Arabidopsis thaliana: one gene and its partner. The protein of the gene in region 2 interacts with the protein of the main gene of each other region in a pairwise test. Each region holds a gene or a part of one and is shown on either strand. Other genes may lie near its edges.

Region 1 (5,467 bases), on a different chromosome or scaffold from region 2:
TGTTAAAATCTGATTAGAAAAAGGTATTTCTCTTCGTCTCTAGAACTAAATCTCTCTCTCTAAAAAAACAATCGTTTCTCCCTTTCTCCTTCCTGAAGATCGTTTTTTCATAAATCCATAGTAGTTTAAAAACGAAGCAGAGAGATGTTGAAAATCGTTTCTCATGAAATTAATCGATTATTCTCTGTGAAGTTCTTTAATCCACACAACTTTCCTCATGAACATGATAATAGTAGTAAATGGAGGTTTTTCCTATGGTTACTCTAGACGAAGGAGGATCTCCTTGTGTTGGACAGGTTTGTGATTTCTTTCCATGGATTAAAAAAATTTGATTGTTTGTTTATGATGAACGATTCTTTGGCTACGGAAGAGTGTCATGGAGTTCTGGCGAATTCTTTGGCTATGTTTGGTGATTTCGTTTTTAATCAAGTTGGGAATCAATAGGAAACAACTAAGCATACAACATAGATTAGAAGAGATATCAAGATGGATCTAATTTAAGTAAGATTTGGCGACTAATTCTAGATGATTAGGGTTATTTGTGATTTATTACAAGGCATTTGTGTTCTCATTGATTTGGCGAGTAATTCTGTATGACTAGGGTTATTTGTGTTTTCTTAAAAAGAATTTGTGTTCTTGTTGAAATCTTGTTCATTGGAATTATTTGTGTTTGGTAAATCTTCATTGGTGGCTAAGGATGTGTTTGTAGCTCTTACGGCGTTTGTTATTGGTGATGTCCATTATGGATGGCAAATTATGGATGGCACATTATGGATGATGAATCATGGATGACATATTATGGATGACGCATCATGGATTGTATATTATGGATTGATATGGTGAGATTTGTAAATCTTTTGGTCTTACATGTTAAGAGTAAAAGATGAAGAATTGGAGAAGCATGTCTAACATCCTAAAAACAAGCTATATGCGGTTGATTTGCTACAAATAATTTTTTGGTATCCATAATAACAAATCCATTTAAATATATCCATTCAGAAACCTTTCTACTGATCCGTATCCATTCTATATACCATGTCAATAATAATAGGAGATTCGATTAACCGTGTTTTGTAAAGAAACCAAAGTTCCATGTCCATAAGGTTTTGAAGGTGGAGGTCTCTGCAAACTGAAAAAAAAATCAACAAACAATTTTTTGGTGTCCATAATAACGAATCCATTTAAATATATCCATTCGGAAACCTTTTTACTGATCTATATCCATTTTATATAACATGTCCATGATAACAGGAGATTCGATTAACTGAAATCTCGATGCTACGTAGATGAAACGAGTTTGACACATGAGAGAGAGCAAAAATCAAATCAAACCGCCATTGTTGAAGAAGAAGAAGTTTCTTCTCATTTTTTACAAAGATGAAGAGAGAGAGAGGTGAAGAGAGAGAGAGAGATGAAGAGAGAGAGAGAGAGAAAGAGAGAGATGAAGAGAGAGAGAGAAAGAGAGAAAACGTGGGTTAAGATAATATTTTAGTTAAGAGGGTATTTTAGTAAAAAAACATAAAAAAGTGCCTAATCTTTTGAAAGTGCCTAAACACAGAAATAGTTTTAAAAAAGTGTTTAAGAGTGTAATATTCTCTTTTTTTCACCTAGATTCCTTCTATTGACCGTCGATAGACGGATGATAACTATGACGTGGCATTATCGCAGCCATCAAACAAAGTCATGTATAACAAAGAAGAGCACACAAACGAAAACAAATTCAGTTGCGGAACCCAAATTCAAATCAACGGAATTAGAATCACGCTTTCAATTCCGTAACCCGCCATTAAAAACCTTGAACCCTCGAAGCAAATCGAGCAAAGATTTTCAAATTTCGAATTTCAAAATTCTATCTCTCTCACTCTTCCAAGCTTAGAGACTCTTAGAGCGAGAAAATGATGGCTTCTCTTAAGTAAGTGATTGATCTCTCTCTTTCTCTCTACTACGATTCTTCTTCTTCTTCTCCATTCATCGTTTTGGTTTAAGCTTTGTCTTAAGTTTTGTGTACCTGACTCGCTTCTTCTCGTTTTTATTTTGTTTTCCGATGATCCTGATCTGTTTGTGTTGTTTCGGATTCATAGAGCTGAAGAAACGAGCCAGATGCAGCTCGTTGAGCGTGAAGAAAATGATGAAGACGAAGATCTATTTGAGATGATTGACAAATGTAAGATTTGAATTCGTTTTCAACTTTTACGATTCTTCACTTTTTCGTTTCAAATCTTCATCATCTGTTTTGGAATCGTCTCTGTGTGTTTATCTCTTCTAATTTCGCCCACTTTTGTTTATCTAAACCTCGTTGTTGCTTAATCGCTGGGTCTTATGAAATCAGATCTAGAATCGTTCATCTAATTTGAGGAATGTTCTCGCAATCTCTGTTAGATTTCGAATTTAAGTATGAATCTAGGATCGATATTGATTTCTGAACATGGTTCTCCTTGGTAACGAATAGTTTATGGTCCATTTCGTTTACTGTTTGTGGAATTCGAGTGTATATTAGTGTACATAGTTGTTTGATTTCTGTATCTGGCTAAAATCTCTAGCTGATTTGATCTCGGGACTTTTATTTTTGCTTGTGTCAGTGATCGCACAAGGTATAAACGCAGGAGATGTGAAAAAGCTACAAGAAGCTGGGATCCATACCTGCAATGGTCTCATGATGCATACCAAGAAGGTATTAACCAGCTTATTTAGCTTTGCTCATTGGGTTTATACTATGTAGATGTTGGTTGCATGAGTCGATTGTTTAAACTTATGTTTGATGCAGAACCTTACTGGAATCAAAGGTTTATCTGAGGCCAAAGTTGACAAAATCTGTGAAGCTGCTGAGAAAATTGTGGTAAGTTTAACGTTTCCATCTGTTGTTGCTATATCAGTGTTACTTTCTGCATTTGCGTCATTTTAATTGTCAAACCATTTCTCCTTCAGAACTTTGGATATATGACTGGAAGTGATGCTCTTATAAAGGTTAGACTCATTGTTGCTTGATCCCACTAACAGAACTATTAGATTTTGATATCCTATTCAACATTTCATATTAGATATTGAAACTTACAAGTTGTTTTTTAATTGTTTACAGAGGAAATCAGTTGTAAAAATCACTACAGGGTGTCAAGCTCTCGATGATCTCTTAGGAGGTATGCTAAGTTTTGCTTTAGATTTTTGCCATCTTGATCACACTACTTAAGTTCTGGTTTAATTATTTCACATTTCTTGCTAGGTGGAATTGAAACCTCAGCCATCACAGAGGCTTTTGGGGAATTTAGGTGAGAAACAGCTGAGCCAAGCTCTATAAGTTTCCTGTTAATAGCTTGTATTCTTATAGAGTTTAATTTCACTTCAGGTCTGGGAAAACCCAATTAGCACATACCCTTTGTGTCACTACGCAGGTTGGTTTCTTTCCTACAGTCTCAATATGAAATATATGTTGTCTTGTTTACATTTCAGAGGCATGAGATGAGATTTTACTTTCTTTCAGCATATAAACCATTGAGGTACTCTGTCTCTCAATGTCATTGGTATTCATTTTCTGTATTGATGTATTACAGCTACCTACAAACATGAAAGGAGGGAATGGAAAAGTGGCATACATTGACACAGAGGGAACCTTGTATCCTTAATATCTTATAACAAATCTTCTGACCAGATCTTGTGTCTTCATTAGATTGTTTCTATATTCCATGATTTTTCCTTAACCCCTAAATTTTGTAGCCGTCCTGATAGGATTGTCCCAATTGCTGAAAGATTTGGAATGGATCCAGGAGCTGTGCTTGACAATGTAAGCATTATTAACCTCACATCTTTACTTACTCTCAGGACTGTGACTGACATTCAAAAATCTTATTCATCTTGATATAACAGATCATTTATGCTCGTGCTTATACCTATGAGCATCAGTACAACTTGCTTCTTGGCCTTGCTGCAAAAATGTCTGAGGAACCATTTAGGATTCTGGTAAGTAAAACATGTCTGATAATTTTAGTTTAGTTATCCATTCAAATATGAGTTAAATTAGCTGAGTTTTCTGACCTTGTTTCCAGATTGTTGACTCGATCATTGCTTTATTCCGAGTGGATTTCACTGGAAGAGGAGAACTCGCAGACCGCCAGGTTAAACTTGCCTCCCACAACATTACTTACATTATCATTGGCACAATCTGGCTTTGCTCAATAGTCCCAGTTTCTGTGTTGCAGCAAAAACTAGCTCAGATGCTTTCCAGGCTAATCAAAATTGCAGAGGAGTTCAACGTTGCTGTCTACATGACTAACCAAGGTTTACTTTACACTAGTTTGATATAATGAGATAAAGCATCAATTCTTTTTTTGTTTCTTGGTTGCACTAACTTAGCAAGTATCATCTGTTTCATTTGGTGGTTTGCAGTCATAGCTGACCCAGGTGGTGGAATGTTCATATCAGACCCAAAAAAGCCAGCAGGTGGTCATGTACTAGCTCACGCAGCCACCATCAGGCTCTTGTTCAGGAAAGGCAAAGGCGATACACGTGTCTGCAAAGTCTACGATGCTCCGAATCTCGCTGAAGCTGAAGCCATATCCTTTTAACCAAATCCACACACACACACTTGCTTTGTTTTTGATTATTTCATATAATGCAATGACTTCATTTTTTTCCTTAACTGAAGAAATCACAGTTTCCAGATTACTCAAGGAGGCATTGCTGACGCGAAGGATTAGAGGAGCGAACTCTTTTATATGTCATAATCACGAATTATGTCTGTTCTTAACTTGCTGCTTGTTTCTGCATCGAATCAGACGTTTTAATTAAGTCTTTTTATTCTTAGTTTCTTGTTTACCAAATAAGACGATCATTACTTGATTCGGCTTACAAAACCAATCTATGTATCTGATAAAGCTGCAAACAAAACAACTCTGGTTCGTTTGTAAAAAGACAATAATGGCTTTATAACAAGTAACAAGTAAAAGTTCATTATGATCATTGATTAATCAGTTGCACTGAATAATGTGTTATTCCTCTCCAACTTATTCATCTCTATTTTAGTGGATGAAAAAACTCTTTAAATTTCTCTTTTTTATTCATCTAAGTAACGTAAAATAGAAATGAAAGGGATGAATAATTTTAATCATCTCGTTTTCTCACTTTGCCAGTTTTTTCCTGCACATCAATCGATTTCATAATTGCTGCAAAACTCTCATATTGTTTTGTCTCCTCTTTTGGGTTCCATGGCAATATGATACTTTTCAAGTTCGACAAGTCTCATCATGTTTCGCTTATATCGACGGTTTTCTGAACTGCTTTGTCTTCTCCTTTTGCATCCTGGAGGTTGCTTGATTTTCACTAAACTTGGAACATAAGGACACACATATAGCCAACTATCTTGGTGGGCAGGTTCTCCGAGATCAACATCTCGGACTTGTCCAGCCTCTCCAATGATGAAAACTTTGTCGCGTTTCAACGGTTGCCCGAAAATCACGGCGACTTTGTTCACCTCGTC
Region 2 (8,024 bases):
AAGAATATGCACAATGTTTACACGCTTTACACCAGCACTACTAGGTCATGAATAGGGAACAAATACATCTTATGTGTGTAAGTTCATCATCATAAGACGGACCTATAACTTTTACTCATAAACTAGGCATTATAAACAATTAAATCAAATGCATAAACCGTTCCACTACTCGAATTCAATCTTTACACCCACACTGTTGAGTTATTTAGGAGATTCGTTCAACTTCTCTAAATCCGTTGTCTAACTGGCTTAGAGGGTCATCCATCATCTGGAGTGTTTATGCCTATAACCACCTGATATATCAATTATACATTTCTTTTCTCGTGTGGTTCTTCTTGCAGGGATCCTTCTTTGGTTGGAACGGGGCGACTCTTTAATTCCGTGGTAGGTGATTAGTGTGATTGTCTTGAAATGTATGATCTACTCTCATCGATCAAGTAACTTTGAACTACTTCGTATTGTAAACATATCTAAGGTTTGATGGAGTTGCATTAAGAAATAACATTTATGCTATATATGATGCTACAACTTACTATCAGGGTAAACAATGGTTATTTAGTCTTTGTCTACTCGTTAGATATAATTATGTTTAGAATTCGAAGATGAATGTTATCAAAGAAAAAAGGATTTGACATTGTCAAGTCTACTACTCCATATGACAGATCAACATTGTGTTAAAAATATTTTCTATTAGGGAAACTTCCTGTGACTGGAACATTAATGGTCAAATGCACTTTGCCTAAGTAATCAAGAATTATTGTATAAACTACGTTAAGCAAAAAAATAACCTGAGTTATAATATCAGGAGGTTATTTTTATTTTTATTTTAGCAAATGAATATAGATTAGCTATCAGATGAAGCAAGGTGTATAATCAAAGTTGAAAGACGCGTAATTGTGATCCTATATATACATAACACTACCGCAACTTCAGCAACCTCTAAATCATTCGTCTCCTAAAATTTTCCAATCTCAAAATCCCAAAAGAACAAAATCGAATGGTGTCAACAAATCCCCCTGTTCTTCCAATTTCCACCACCGCAACAGACACCACCAATCAGCCTCCGATTGTAACCGCTGTGGTGGAATCGCAACCTCCAGTCGTCCGTGCATTTGTCAACGGTGTGACCGAGACGGTCTGTGGTGGTCTATCTCGTAGCCGTCCGTGGTCAGAGCTCCTCGATCGATCCGCTTTCACAAAGCCTGACTCTCTCTCCGAGGCCGGGACGCGATTCCGGAAAAATTCCTCTTATTTCAGGGTGAATTACGTTTGCATTGTCGCTCTGATCCTTGGTTTCTCTCTTCTCGCCCACCCATTCTCTCTCATCCTCCTCCTATGTCTCGCCGCTTCCTGGCTCTTCCTCTACCTCTTCCGTCCATCAGATCGTCCTCTTATCCTCTTCGGCCGATCTTTCTCCGAATACGAAACTCTCGGTGGCCTAATCCTCTCCACGATCGCAGTGATCTTCTTCACAAGCGTCGGATCTGTATTGATATCCGCTCTCATGATCGGAATAGCAACAATCTGTGTCCATGGCGCCTTTAGAGCTCCCGATGATCTCTTCCTCGACGAACAAGATCATGCCGCCTCCGGATTCCTCTCATTCATCGGTGTTCCCGCGATCCCCTCTGTAGCACCCTCTGCCTCCTCAGCGGCTTCCCCCGTGTAAATTATAGTTCTCAGAATCTGGCGTGTTTAGAGATTTGAAGGTGGAGATTGTTGCAATGTAATTTTCTGTGATACTTGACCATTGTTGCAATGTAATTTTCATTGAAGTCAGTCACCAATCACATTGAACAGATGTTTTAAAATGTCCACGTAAGCAATTATTGTTTGGAACGATTTCGGGTTAGCATTCGTGCCGTTAGTTACCGCAATAAAAGGCCGTGGCAATATCACACTTGTCTTGGAACGCTATGTCCGTAAAAACCAAGCCCAAAGTTAAAATAAAACCACGCGTCTCATAATTTCGGCCCAAATCTTTTTCAACTTTCCCGCCTTTGTCAGAACTTTTAACTTTTTGGATTTTTGGTGATGATTTTGGTTTGGGGAAAGAAAATAAAACAATAAAAATAAAAATTCCGCACTCCCGACTCCTCCCTCTTGGCGTGGTAGGCAATTCTGAATCGCGAGGTTTAGTTCTCCGGCTGAATCATATAACGACGAATCGGAAAACTTGGAAACCCTAGAACTGAATAAATGTCGACGTGGCATTTATTTTCCGATTCCAGCGGCGATGGTTTCCGGTGGGAAGTCGCTGGCCGGATTCTTCAGTCCGTCTCGGATTCTACGCCAACCAAGGCGCTCGAATCGACAGCTCCTCTACCTTCCATGGCCGATCTCTTGCTCCAAGGTGATTCTTCGTATCTTCCTTTTCTTTGTCGAATCGTGTTTGTCATGTGACTCAAAGGAGATTGAATTATTATTTGATGCTTCAAGGATGCTCGAAGCTTATAGAACGGGAAGAATCGATGCCTGGGGAAATCCCAATGTTCAGGACTGGGCTGGGGAAGTCTGTAGTTCTTAAAGAGTCTTCGATTGCTAAAGCCAAATCCATTTTAGCAGAGAATGTTGCTTATTCAGGTATTTTATGTGACAGTATTGAATTCCCTTGACTAGTCATTTGTTTCTGAATTCGCTTGAATTGTTACTTAATGTTGGTGAATATGTGTTCCTGAAAATCTTTTGAATGTTCCATGTTCTTGGCTACACTTTTAGATTTGCAGAACACAAATTGCTCAATTCCCCAAACGAGACAAGTGGATACAGCTGAAACTATGCCAATGTTCAGGACGGCCTTGGGGAAAACTGTCCCTTTGAAAGAGTCTTCAATTGCCAAACCTTTGTCTATTCTAGGAAGTGATATGATAATTGACTCAGGTGTGTTCTTATCTCCTCTTTTTTTAAGTCTTATATCCAGCTGTGTGCGCATTTACATATGAACTTGTTGTTTGTGCTGCTACTCCGTTCAACTTCCAGGTTTCTTGAGTTTGGTTGTTATCAGATAAAACGATGAATAGTGAAGAACTAATCAACACACATCTTACTTCGTTTAGAGAATAAATATTAGAAGTGACATTTTTTCATAGTTTATTTGTTAATAAGATTCTTTTTGATTGTGTAGACAACGTTCTTCCCAGGGAGAGTGGGTTTGGTGTTCCCAACAGTCTTTTTCAGACAGCTTCCAACAAAAAGGTTAATGTATCTTCTGCCGGTTTAGCAAGAGCCAAGGCATTGTTAGGACTAGAAGAAGATGATTTGAATGGATTTAACCATGTGAACCAGTCGTCTTCTTCCCTCCAGCAACATGGGTGGTCCGGTTTAAAAACTCATGAGGAGTTTGATGCTACAGTGGTTAAGCATCATTCAGGAACTCCAGGACAATATGAGAATTATGTATCTGGGAAGAGATCTGAAATCTTAAATCCATCGTTAAAGGTGCCTCCAACAAAGTTTCAGACTGCTGGTGGAAAATCATTGTCAGTGTCAGCTGAGGCGTTGAAACGTGCCAGAAACCTTCTTGGTGACCCTGAGTTAGGGTCTTTCTTTGATGATGTAGCTGGAGGTGATCAATTTTTTACACCACAGAAAGATGAAAGGCTAAGTGATATTGCTATAAACAATGGAAGTGTCAACACAGGTTATATTGCTCATGAAGAAAAGACAAGCAACAAACATACGTCAAATAGTTTTGTATCTCCTCTTCATTCATCTTCAAAGCAATTTAGATCAGTTAACTTGGAGAACCTAGCTTCAGGGGGTAATTTGATCAAGAAATTTGATACGGCTGTTGATGAGACCAATTGTGCTCTGAATATCAGTAAACCTGCTACACATGGACTATCAAATAACAGGCCTTTAGCATCAGATATGGCAGTGAATAATTCCAAGGGAAACGGTTTCATTCCAAGAGCTAGGCAACTTGGAAGGCCTGCTGATCAGCCACTTGTTGATATAACAAATCGCAGAGATACAGCTTATGCAAACAATAAACAAGACAGTACCCAAAAGAAAAGGCTGGGAAAGACAGTCTCCGTTTCTCCTTTCAAAAGGCCAAGGATTTCATCCTTTAAAACTCCTTTAAAGAAAAATGCTCAGCAAGCTTCAAGTGGTAATATATACGATTAATTTTAATTTTAATTTTTTGTTAATCTAATTGGTTGGTTCTCAGATTTATAATTTTGGTGTCCTGTCTATTATCAGGTTTGTCTGTTGTATCGTGTGATACACTTACTTCCAAAAAGGTACTTTCTACAAGATATCCAGAAAAGTCTCCAAGAGTATATATCAAGGAGTTTTTTGGAATGCATCCGACAGCTACGACCAGGGTAAAATCTTTTTGTCCCTTTCACCTGTTCCTGCGTTACATAAATTTTTTCTTCATTCACTCAAACACATTTACGAGGTGGTTTTAGATGGATTATGTGCCAGACCATGTCAGAAGAATCAAATCAAGTAATGCAGATAAATATGTATTCTGTGATGAGTCTTCTTCAAACAAGGTTGGAGCTGAAACTTTTCTTCAAATGTTGGCTGAGTCGGGTGCTTCCTTACAACATGCATCCAGAAAGTACTTTCTCTGTCCCTTGAAATGTTAACCGTGTTATATGTTTATTATATCAGAAAAAGTGTGTGACTGTTCGTTTGAAGCTTGCATGTGATTGTCACTCTATTAGATAGACAGTTTGATGTCTATATCTATTAACTTATCTATCACTACATATGCACTAGGTGGGTTACTAATCACTACAGGTGGATAGTCTGGAAACTTGCATGCTACGACATATACTACCCAGCCAAATGCAGAGGAAACTTTCTAACAATCACCAATGTTCTTGAGGAACTAAAATACAGGTTTCCCAGTCTCACAACACAACTCGTTACTTAAACTCATGCAAAGTCTAACATGGTTAATCTTCTTAATAGATATGAGAGAGAGGTCAATCATGGTCATTGCTCTGCAATCAAGAGGATTCTGAGTGGTGATGCTCCAGCTTCTTCAATGATGGTCCTCTGCATATCAGCTATTAATCCAAGGACCGATAATGGTTCTCAGGAAGCACATTGTTCTGATAATTGCAGCAATGTGAAAGTCGAACTCACTGATGGGTGGTATGAAATTGCTACTGCTGTTCTGTTACCTGTTTTCTTGTCTCATTTCCATAGGATTTTTTTTTAAATCACAGGTACTCGATGAATGCTGCTCTGGATGTCGTGCTAACCAAGCAGCTGAATGCTGGCAAATTGTTTGTGGGGCAGAAGCTTCGAGTAAGTTATATTCATGCAAGATATACTTTGTTTTGCAACACAGATTTTGGTTAGATCACTGACTTGCAGCATGCTTACGTTCTTATCTCTTATCTGAAGATCCTCGGGGCAGGACTTTCTGGCTGGGCTACCCCAACATCACCACTTGAGGTTTCCTAGACTTTGCATTTTATAAGATTTTCTGATATCTTCTCAGGTTGGTTTGTTCTTAGAGTTTCGTTCAACCAAACTTTCAGGCAGTGATTTCAAGTACAATCTGTTTGTTGTTGAATATTAATGGGACATACAGAGCTCACTGGGCGGACCGACTAGGCTTCTGTAAGTAGCTTTATGCTGTGGACCTCACTACATCATCTGAGTTCTTATTGCTTTCATATTATTATCTTTCTATTGATCGTTCTTAATCTCTTCCTCAAGGTAAAGAAATTGGTGTCCCTCTGGCTTTCAACTGTATCAAGTGCAATGGGGGTCCAGTGCCTAAAACGCTAGCTGGCATCACACGAATATACCCCATCCTATACAAGGAAAGGTCAATATAAATGTGTGCCTGTTAATGCACTTTGGTCTTCCTTATACTTCTCGCAAAGCATTATATTTTCTTGATGTATACAGGTTAGGTGAAAAGAAGTCAATAGTTCGATCAGAGAGAATAGAAAGTAGAATTATACAGCTGCATAATCAGAGGCAAGTTTCCTTATAACTGTAGAGTAGCAATTTTTAGTAACATTTATGTGATCAATTTAGCACATCACTTTCTAAGAAGTGTCAGATTAACTCATCAAAGCTAGAGACATTTGTTACATACACCAATATTAGGGTTCTAAGTAGTTTTTGGGACAGACAAAGAATCTTTGTATTTATTAGAAAAGCTTCTGGCCTTCTGAATATGGATGGTTTTGCCAACAGAAGAGCCAAAGATTGCAGTTCCTCATGGTTTATTCTCATTCGTACTTTTCTTTCTTTCTTTTTCTATTTTCCGTAGGCGCTCAGCTCTTGTTGAGGGTATTATGTGTGAGTACCAGAGAGGAATTAATGGTGTTCACAGCCAAAACGATACTGACAGCGAAGAAGGAGCCAAGGTCTTTAAGCTGTTAGAGACGGCTGCTGAACCTGAACTTCTTATGGCTGAAATGAGCCTAGAGCAGTTGACATCTTTCACTACATATAAAGCAAAATTTGAGGTAGAATAGTAATTCCCTTTTCTTGATATATTGATTACAGTAATTAACTGCTTCAATCTGAACCTCAGGCAGCCAAGCAAATGCAGATGGAAAAATCAGTGGCAAAAGCTCTGGAAGACGCTGGTTTAGGTGAAAGGAACGTCACCCCATTCATGAGGATTAGGCTTGTTGGCCTGACGAGCTTAAGTAATGAAGGAGAGCACAATCCAAAAGAAGGCATTGTAACAATCTGGGATCCCACGGAGAGACAGGTACATTCAAATGCCTAAATCTGAATGTTTCATGCACAATTTAAAAGAAGGCATTTTTCTAATGGCTTATAAGTTTACACGAACCTTATCCATATGAGCTTATATGGAACGGGGAGTTCCAAATATAAGCTCGTCAGAGTTGCTGTGGACCTCGAATGGACTGAAATGCATATCAAAAAATCGTTACCATCACTGTACTGTTGCATTAAGAGCATCATCGATTAGCTTGTTCAACTTTTTTCTTGTAGATTCTTAAAACAGTTATCATTGTCTACTACTGTGACAGAGAACCGAGCTGACGGAGGGGAAAATATACATAATGAAAGGGCTAGTACCAATGAACTCAGATTCAGAAACACTTTACTTACATGCCAGAGGGTCAAGCTCAAGATGGCAGCCTTTGTCTCCAAAAGATTCTGAAAATTTTCAGTAAGTGGTTTTCTTTAGTAGACACTGGAATCTATCTCATTAATTTGTTCAATTTCCCTGATGATGTTTTCAGGCCTTTTTTCAACCCTCGTAAACCAATCTCTTTGTCAAATCTTGGTGAAATTCCTCTGTCAAGGTTAATCTCAGTAGTCCAAGCTTTTTATAAAACACTATTTACCGCACTTTGCTAATCTATACTCTATCATCTCTAATTATGTCCTTCAGTGAATTTGATATCGCTGCGTACGTTGTATATGTTGGAGATGCATACACAGATGTTCTACAAAAGAAGCAGTGGGTGTTTGTGACAGATGGATCCACACAACATTCAGGGGAAATCTCAAACAGTCTTCTTGCTATAAGCTTCAGCACCCCATTCATGGATGATAGCTCTGTTTCCCACATCAGCCATAATTTGGTTGGATCCGTGGTATGTACAAATTCTAATATTTGTCTAGTTTTACACTGAGAGAATATGCACCGAGAAATTATTGTTTGAAAAATATATGCTTTGTGGGCTTAATTTTTGGCAGGTCGGATTTTGCAATCTAATTAAAAGAGCAAAGGATGCGACAAACGAAATGTGGGTTGCTGAGACAACAGAGAACTCAGTCTACTTCATAAACGCAGAAGCTGCCTACTCTTCTCACCTTAAAACCCGCAGTGCCCATATCCAAACATGGGCTAAGCTCTATTCTTCCAAATCCGTTCGTTCTCGTCGACTTCCTCTTTCTATAAGTATTCGGTTCAAAAAGATTGTTCTATTGTATTAAGCCTTCTTGGTTTGCTCAATTTTCAGGTCATCCATGAACTTCGGCAAAGAGTCCTATTTATAATCGGTGCTTGTAAATCACCTTCATGCTGAAGATAAATCATACACCACCTCTTCTCTTTT

What was found. Proteins that work in one complex are often made in the same cells at the same time.
Region 1: the proteins of BRCA2B (region 2) and DMC1 interact in binary tests that used the Arabidopsis thaliana proteins (3 or more experiments, as listed by UniProt).

What each region holds. Positions count from the first base shown.
Region 1 is NC_003074.8:8,097,169-8,102,635, reverse strand, and holds DMC1 (DNA repair (Rad51) family protein), read left to right. Parts: upstream 1-1,703; 5' UTR 1,704-1,895; coding exon 1,896-1,912; intron 1,913-2,081; coding exon 2,082-2,164; intron 2,165-2,579; coding exon 2,580-2,671; intron 2,672-2,764; coding exon 2,765-2,836; intron 2,837-2,925; coding exon 2,926-2,964; intron 2,965-3,076; coding exon 3,077-3,134; intron 3,135-3,217; coding exon 3,218-3,263; intron 3,264-3,340; coding exon 3,341-3,386; intron 3,387-3,545; coding exon 3,546-3,607; intron 3,608-3,708; coding exon 3,709-3,775; intron 3,776-3,858; coding exon 3,859-3,951; intron 3,952-4,037; coding exon 4,038-4,106; intron 4,107-4,190; coding exon 4,191-4,269; intron 4,270-4,377; coding exon 4,378-4,544; coding exon of another isoform or gene 4,545-4,556; exon of another isoform or gene 4,557-4,597; intron 4,598-4,643; coding exon 4,644-4,688; 3' UTR 4,689-4,958; downstream 4,959-5,467. Other genes in the region: AT3G22870 (F-box and associated interaction domains-containing protein), read right to left, coding at 5,165-5,467. UniProt on the Arabidopsis thaliana protein: May participate in meiotic recombination, specifically in homologous strand assimilation, which is required for the resolution of meiotic double-strand breaks. Mediates interhomolog recombination during meiosis.
Region 2 is NC_003076.8:235,087-243,110, reverse strand, and holds the start of BRCA2B (BRCA2-like B), read left to right. Parts: upstream 1-2,004; 5' UTR 2,005-2,199; coding exon 2,200-2,353; intron 2,354-2,439; coding exon 2,440-2,583; intron 2,584-2,718; coding exon 2,719-2,880; intron 2,881-3,124; coding exon 3,125-4,111; intron 4,112-4,203; coding exon 4,204-4,328; intron 4,329-4,415; coding exon 4,416-4,570; intron 4,571-4,731; coding exon 4,732-4,854; intron 4,855-4,926; coding exon 4,927-5,112; intron 5,113-5,186; coding exon 5,187-5,268; intron 5,269-5,367; coding exon 5,368-5,418; intron 5,419-5,504; coding exon 5,505-5,586; intron 5,587-5,685; coding exon 5,686-5,797; intron 5,798-5,880; coding exon 5,881-5,952; intron 5,953-6,250; coding exon 6,251-6,449; intron 6,450-6,517; coding exon 6,518-6,700; intron 6,701-6,986; coding exon 6,987-7,129; intron 7,130-7,202; coding exon 7,203-7,265; intron 7,266-7,354; coding exon 7,355-7,559; intron 7,560-7,662; coding exon 7,663-7,836; intron 7,837-7,928; and 2 more. Other genes in the region: AT5G01650 (Tautomerase/MIF superfamily protein), read left to right, coding at 1-44; PRA1.B5 (prenylated RAB acceptor 1.B5), read left to right, coding at 998-1,669. UniProt on the Arabidopsis thaliana protein: Involved in double-strand break repair and/or homologous recombination by mediating RAD51- and DMC1-facilitated DNA repair. Plays an essential role in both somatic and meiotic homologous recombination.